2 linked regions of the Astyanax mexicanus genome follow. The protein of the gene in region 2 interacts with the protein of the main gene of each other region in a biochemical or structural test. Links are inferred from orthologs where the notes say so. Each region holds a gene or a part of one and is shown on either strand. Other genes may lie near its edges. The genes, in order: dlst and siah2l.

Region 1 (3,926 bases), on a different chromosome or scaffold from region 2:
GGTCAGAATGCTGAATGTCTTCCAAAATACCTCATCCCCAAATTCCCTGTATCTCCACAACTCATCTCTAAAGTATTGGAAGAAGCACCATCAATCTAAAGAACACAGTTTCATTACTCCACAGCATAATACTGTGGGTCATTATACCCCTGTAGCCCAGCGATTCTCAAACTTTTTAGTTTAAGAGGCCCTCTTTGTGGACTGTAAGTGCCACCACTACAGCCCCTCAGCCACACCTCAGGATGTCTGTGGCAGAGACTCAAAAGAACTCGAGCAAAAAATATCTAAATGCGGGTTCTTTAATATATTTACATTGTACTAAAATACATTCATTTCCAATGGGCATATATGCAGCTGAAACAGGAAGCCTAGTGCATCCCAAATTTATCAGCATTAACATTTTAATATAACATTATAGTCATTATCGCTTTTAGAAATTGGGTGTTAGGGAGAGGGTAGTAGCTTTTTACCCATAAATGCTAGTTCAATCTCAGTTCAAGGTGTGCAATATCATCGCATGCAACACTATGGGCAGATTTAATATTCATTTTGTTGCAGTAGTGTATTCTTGAAATGATTATTTATAAATGTTTTGTCTTATCGCCAATAATATTGTTAATGCAAAAATACCCTGTAATATTGTGATATTATTTTAGGGCCATATTGGCCATCAGGGTACAACTTTTTTTGCTGTTTGCAGCAAAATAAAAATTCACACTGTTAACACTTACCTTTACATATCTACTAGAGAAATAATATCTGTGAAGTGTAATTTCTTTTACTTTAGTGTTGGATATATGGAATGCATTCCCTGCTAAAAAAAATCCAGCTTGAGACCAGCTGATCATTGAGAAAAACAATCTCAGTTTTGAAATGCCAAGTTATTATTTTGATATACTATTTTAGTTTTGAAATGCCAAGTTATTATTTTAATAAACTCAGTTAAAATAAATCTCAGTTTTTAAATGCAGAGTTATTATTTAGATTTACTATCTCAGATTTGAGTTACTAAATCATTATTTCGATATACTATCTTAATTTAATTTATTTTACTTCAATCCTGAATATATGGAGTGCATTATTAGTATAATGACATGTTGATTCATTTACTTACTTAATATTATAATCTGGTGGAAATCTCAATTAGTAGTGTGCCATTTCATATCGTATGCAACAATACTGTCAAATAATATTGATTTTGTTGCAGTGGTGTGTTCTTGAAATTATTATTAGTTTTAATTCAATGTTTTGTCATGTCGCCAAGAAATATCGTAATATTATTTTAGGGCCATATTGCTCACACCTAGTGTCCACTAAATTATTAGGCATAGCTAACCTACTGCAGTACAGAACAGGTTGGGCAGCTGTCCACAAACTTTTGGACATGTGAGGGAGTTTTTAGCTTTGGTATAATCCACGCTGATCCTCCGCCCCTCCCGCTGGCTGCTGTTGGTTCGCCCCGGCGTGGTTGTGTCTCTCTGCCGCTTCTCCTGCTCCCTCCTGCGGGCCTTTACCGCTCTGTGTCCGGCAGGCGCGGATTGCCGATATGTTGTCCCGTTCCCGCTGCTTCACCCGCACCTTCGGCCGCTCCATCTCCGCCCTCCGGCAGGTACGTGCGCTGAGCTCCTGCGGTCTAGGGCTGACTGTACCCGCGCTGCTTTCACGGGCAGCCGCTGCTGCAGGCCGGGCGGCGCTGGCTGTAGCTCTGCTAGGCCTCGCCCGCTGGACCAAGGGCAGTATGTCACCGCTGCCGTACCCACCCCATTACCTCGTTATCTAGATAACCGTTTATTAACATAAGTATGTAGATAAGTTAATGGCATTAACACCATATTTATACGCTGGAAACGGCCTTTATTCCTGCAGTTTCTCCTGTGGTTTAGTGAATGCTTGGCTGAGGTCATTGCAGAAACTCTCCCTAAAGGGTCTTCCATGTTGAATGCTAGTTAGCTTAGCTTAGTTTAGCTTAGCTCAGCTTACCTAGCTAGCATTAAACCTTCCTGTCTCCTCCAGTATCTGTCCGTTTACAGAGGTCAGACAACACCGCGTTAGCTAGCTAGCTATCGAAATAGCTTTATTAGGATACCAATGTGTCTACAGTAACGCTGTCTATTTGTTTATTCTCTTTAATTTACTGTTGTACACCGTGTTTTGGTTTGTACATTAGGCTAACACTAATGCAAATGGCTGGTTTGCCAGTTTCACATTCGCTACAAACTGCTGTAGTTATGTCTAGTAGTTGTTTTAGTTATCCTAACCTAACTAATTAGCACTGTTTTTATTTCAGACCTGACACCTAGTTTTTAAATACTAAGCTAAACTAAAGTAGTTAAGTTGGGAGTCAGTATATTTTAAAATATGCTTTGTAAAGTTTGTGGCTCCATTTTCCTAGCTAGCATTAAGCTAACATGGCAAAGTCCTCCTTGTACACCTTGGTAACCAAGCTAGTTTCACTACTGTTGCACTATAAACTCACTAACACCGTTTAACACATTTTAATAGACCTTCTCGTAATATGTCATTATTCCGAGATACTAAGTCGCAATTATTAGATACTAAGTCGTTAATTTAAGATATAATCTTTTTACATACTTGGTCATTATTTTGGGATTCTATCTTAATTTCCAAAATACTTAGTCATTAGTTTAAGACACTGTCTTAGTTTTACGATACTAAGTCATTAATTTGAGATACTAGCTTGGGTTAATGATACTAAGTCGTTTTTCTAGAGACTAAAGTCATTATTTTAAGCTGCTTTCTTAGGTTTTAAGAACCTCAAGTCATTCATTTGAGAAACTGTCTTATGTGTAAGATACTAAGTCATTATTTTACTTTACTATCTTACTTTTAAAGGTACTATCTCAGTTTTAAGAGTCTAGGTCAGTATTTTGAGCCTTTACATAGCATGTGTACAATCTGTTATTACCTCAAAATAATGAGAACATCTCAAAATGATCGCTTAGTATCTCAGGATAATTACATTACTTTTACTTTGCATTAATTTTGTTGCAGTAGTGTGTTCTTGAAATTATTTTTTTTTTACTTTTATTCAAAGGTTAATTGCTGATTACACTAGCTAGTTATCTTCTGTAAACACTGCAGCATTAACTCATTTACTGAGTGACCTTTCAGCTTTCTTAATATATATATGCCATTAAGCTGCCTAGTCACAATACTAGTCACAAACACTGTTATTGTTATCAATTTATACAACTGATATAATCATAACATTTCTTTTTTCTTTTTTTTTTTTTTACAATTACAGTCTTTTAACAAGCAGTAAACATCTGATTATTAAGAATATTTGGACATTCAATTCAAACGAAGTTTTAACACTCAATATAATAAGATTTAATAAGAAGTTTAAAAAAAAATGTAAGAAGTACATTGCGTTAATGTGATCTCCCCATTAAATGAACACAGTGGATCTTCAGGTCTGCACAAATTATTAAGGCCATGTCTGTTTGTTCTACTTTTTTTTATTTAAATTTTATTTATTAAACTACATTATATTATATTATTAAACAACTACTTTCTAATCTTAAGTGTTATCCTTAATGTAACTGTCACAATAATTGTTATTGTACAATAAATGGACATGACCCTATTAATTTTTGCTGACCTTGATATTGTCCATTTTAATTTCTTGCATGACTTGTTTACACCCTGTAGTGGCCTGTAGGTTACAGTTTTATTTTCTGAAATAAATCATGTGTCCATTTTGAGGTTGGTTTTATGGCATAGGGTAAACTGGCACACAATTTGAGAAAAAGGACTGAATTGGAGACCATATTTGTTATTCAATGTTTTTTTGGGAAAAACCAATGGCAAAAATTGCTGCAATACCAGCGCATTTGTCTTTGAGAAACATAAAATAACTGATAAATAGGTTTCTTGGTGGTATGTTGGTAGGCCTTCCCGTACCT
Region 2 (3,926 bases):
ATAATGATATAATGATATAATTATATTACCAAATGGTCTTATACACAATCTCCATATCTACAAAAACCCTGCTTTAATCACAATCATCCACTCAGTCAACCTCAATGTACATAATATATGCTTTGTAACAATTAGCTTTGAAAGAGCGCGCTGACGTACTGATCCTGAATCTGTAACCAAAGGCTTTAATTGGCTTAAACGTTGATGGTAAGTTTGTAAGGACAACGGGTAATGAGTGTTGGCTCATTTTCTTCCTAAGGTCATCTTACAACATGCTGAGTAAGTTCTAATGTTATCATCTGTTTAAGGTGCCATTATCTGATGTGATTCTTGGATTTTATTTAGTTTCAGCCATGAAATTCACTTATGATGTTGTGTTTATGTATCAGAAACAACTGTAAGAGATGTGTCTATTACCTCTGTTCATAGGCTTTCCTCATTTTAAAAGGCAGCCAAGTTTATAACACTATTAGGGATGCAACTAATCTGTCTATTAATTATTTTTACTAGTTGATTAGTCAACATTTACTTTAGTCATGCCCTCCCTTCATGTCTGCTTCCGGTCGGCAAGGTTCCTGTTCCGATGTATGTTTTACCAAACTGTGACAGCTTAAATCTTAGGACCCTTGGTACATTTTGCAGGATATTTCCAAGTAGGTGAACATAATGCAGCATACATCTAGCAATATGCTTCAAGAACACTTGCTGGTAAAAGAAATACTACAATTTAACAAGTCAGCCAAAAGCTCTAATCAGATGGGATTAGTTTTACTTGGGGATGTTGAGCAATGCTTACAATTTTATGCAGAGTATTAGTCCAATTTCTGACAGATTTGAATATAATTGCCATGTACTAGAAATAGCACAAAACGTAAGGACATTTGTGGTTAGTAGATTATTTCTAAGTTGTAACAATGCTTCTTGGCAAAAAATCTTATACCGCTGGAAAGACTGATAATTTTACTTTTAATTTGTGCCACATTTTTAAGGAAAATGCAATTGTGGAATAAGTAGCAGAGCTGAGTATGTTGAATATGGCTTGCACCCATGAGAACTTTGCCATATCCTCTCTGCCAATGCCAATCAGCTTATTCTGTCATTGACTCGTCTTCTTGGGGTGTTGTCTTCTTGGAAAGCCCCTTTGAGGCCTTTCTCTGACACCCACATGGTGTCAGAGAACTGGTACTATGGCTCACTTCAAATAATGTCACAACTTGGTTTTGAGGAACACCAGCATGAAGTTGTTCTATCGCATGAGCCCTATACAGATCAGTCAAACAAGGCATGCTGTTTCTTGGAGCAGACACCAATTAACCACTGTAGCAGGGCCCATGCTTGATTGGAAGCACCTGGGGGTACCAGAAGCTCAAAACTATTGTCAATAGCCACAGCAAAATAAGATGTTTGGCACTGACAGAGAAGATTTTCCTTCCAAATGTGGCAACATTTAATAGGGTAATTAACAGGCTTTTTAACAATATACGATTTATTGCAAAGAATCATTGTTACTACAAAGAAATAATCTACCAGACACAAATGTTCTTACTTGTTGCGCATTTCAAAACAGGCTGCTATGCTGCTTTGGGTCCACAATTAAAGTGGTTAGTAAAGTAGTGTCAGCGCTGTGTGTCTGTAACTATGCTGAAGTTGTTCATCAAAACCTGTGGTATCAGAAGCTCAAAACAAGAGTCAATAGCAACAGTAAAAATAAGCTGTTTGGCAATGACAGAGAAGATTTGGCAGATATTTCATGGGCACAAGCTACATACTCAGCTCTGTTGCTCATCCCACAAATGAATGTTCCTTACAAATGTGTCAGCATTTATTATGGAAATAAACAAGCTTTCACTTCAACGACATAAAAGATATGATGAAGAAATAATCAAATTGCCGTTTTAAACTTGTCACATTTATAAACAGGCTGCTCTGCTGCTGCATGTCCAGGTTTATTGGGAAGAGGGGGGATAATGGTACATTATGACATTTTGTTATAGCTAAACAATGTTTGGAGACTTCTGTTCTTATTTATTTCCATGAAATGAGCCTTTACATCCCTTAAAACAGCAGGAGAGGGTGCAGAACCGAGGCTTTCCCGTTTCTAAACACCTGTAGCGTTGTAAACTTGAGCTAATGGAGACTCACTTCCTCAAACACTCACTCCTCCTGTGAGTCGTGAGGGCGCTGTCAAACCAAGCCAAAAAAGTGAGGTAGCTGGTGAGGTAGATAGATAGGAAATAAAGTAACGTTATACAAAAAGTGGTGTGAAAAGTACAGTAGTGTCACAGCACTGCGTGTCAGTCTGAAACTGTGCTGAAGTTTCTCAGGCTTGGTAAAGCTCTCTAACGGGCTGTCAGGAGCTCCTCTCTCTCTTACCTTGCAGGGGAAGGGCAGCGTGGAGGCGACTTTCTCCATCGCCAGGTTCCGTATGCTGGGTGTGAGAGGCCCGCGGCAGGTCGGGCAGCAGCTCAGCTTCTGTCGACATTGGTTGCAGACCAGGTGGCCGGCCTGGCACTGCAGGATCGGCGGCAGCACGTAGTCGAAGCACACTGGGCACTCGAACAGCGCCGTCAGCTCGGCCGACTGTCCGGGTAGAGCAGCAGCAGCAGCGGCGGCAGCAGCAGCAGCCGCAGTAGGTAACGTTACAGCGGTCGCAGCAGTCACAGAACCGGACCCAGAGACGGAGCCCGAAACCCCCGCAGCAGCCGCCGCCGCTGCTGCTGCTGCCGCGGCCGCAGCGGCTGCAGCAGCGGCAGCTGCCGCCGCTCCTCCTCCTCCTGCTGCTCCGGAGCCGCCGTGTTTACTCCCTCCTCCCGCCTTACCGGCTCCCAGTCCTCCGCCCGCTCCTCCCGCTGAGGACGGACGGCTCATGGCGAAGCGGGCAAACTAAGGTTAACCGACAGTTTTAACCCACGACTCGGCTGGTATGAGAGCGGTGCTCACACACACACACACCGGCAGCGGCGGCGGCAGCTCGTAGTACAACACACGCTCCTCTTCTCCCAGACCCAAACACACACACACACTCATACACACACACTCAGTCACACACTCATACACACTCATACTCACACACACCCGCGGATACAACATGGCCGCCACTGTTTGAGAAAAAGGAGCGAGGTCATTGGCTGACAGCGCTGTGATTGACAGCCGCCTAAGCCAATAGCGAGGCGGATGGAGGCTCTTGTGTAACGGCTGTGTGTGTTTACACGCAGCGGCTTGTAGTGACGGAGAGAGTGAAAGTGAGCGGAGCGGATCAGCGTGACAAACAGCCGCTCGCTCTCTCTCTCCACTGATCTCGGATCGGTTTCACCCAGTGTATCGGTCGGTATTATTGGTATTATTGATCGCATGCCGTATCAGAGAAAAAAAAAGAATGCATATTTTCACAAACAAATTTAACCTAGTTATAATTACTGCCTGCCCTCATCGAAGCTTCATGCTGTAAAATAAATGTGATCATAAAATGAGAGAAGTTCAGTTCGGATCCCTTTATCAGATTTACCTTTGGAGTGATCATATAAACAAAAGTATTAAAAGTACTGGCATTCATTACTCAGGTAAATTAGTGGTACAGATAGTAGGCTTATAGATAATATAGGTAAGGAATTTGGGGGCTCCAAGCAAAATGGACCCCTGTTCCAGTTCGTTACTAGCATGGACGCCCAGGCAGGTAGCTAACAAACAGTTGTTGTCTGGAGCCCCAGGCCAGCTCAGGCCTCAAGGCAAAGGATTGGTTTGCTTGCCTTGTTGCAATGGGCCTGATTAGGGTTTACAATATTTCTGTAGAAGCTGAAGTATCAACTGAAGCTTTATACCTAAGTACAAATACTGGTTTCAAAACTACTTTAAGATTAAATTAAAAAAAATATCAGTGGATTAAATGTGATGCAGATAGGATTTCTTAATTTATCAGGCTATCATTA

The links.
Region 1: the proteins of siah2l (region 2) and dlst form a complex in vitro, tested with the Homo sapiens proteins (2 studies listed by BioGRID, with this or other methods). The link is inferred for Astyanax mexicanus from reciprocal best matches to the Homo sapiens genes SIAH2 and DLST.

What each region holds. Positions count from the first base shown.
Region 1 is NC_064421.1:13,690,751-13,694,676, reverse strand, and holds the start of dlst (dihydrolipoyllysine-residue succinyltransferase component of 2-oxoglutarate dehydrogenase complex, mitochondrial), read left to right. Parts: upstream 1-1,437; 5' UTR 1,438-1,546; coding exon 1,547-1,609; intron 1,610-3,926. UniProt on the Homo sapiens protein: Dihydrolipoamide succinyltransferase (E2) component of the 2-oxoglutarate dehydrogenase complex. The 2-oxoglutarate dehydrogenase complex catalyzes the overall conversion of 2-oxoglutarate to succinyl-CoA and CO(2).
Region 2 is NC_064424.1:17,165,475-17,169,400, forward strand, and holds the start of siah2l (E3 ubiquitin-protein ligase Siah2), read right to left. Parts: upstream 3,100-3,926; 5' UTR 2,869-3,099; coding exon 2,374-2,868; intron 1-2,373. UniProt on the Homo sapiens protein: E3 ubiquitin-protein ligase that mediates ubiquitination and subsequent proteasomal degradation of target proteins.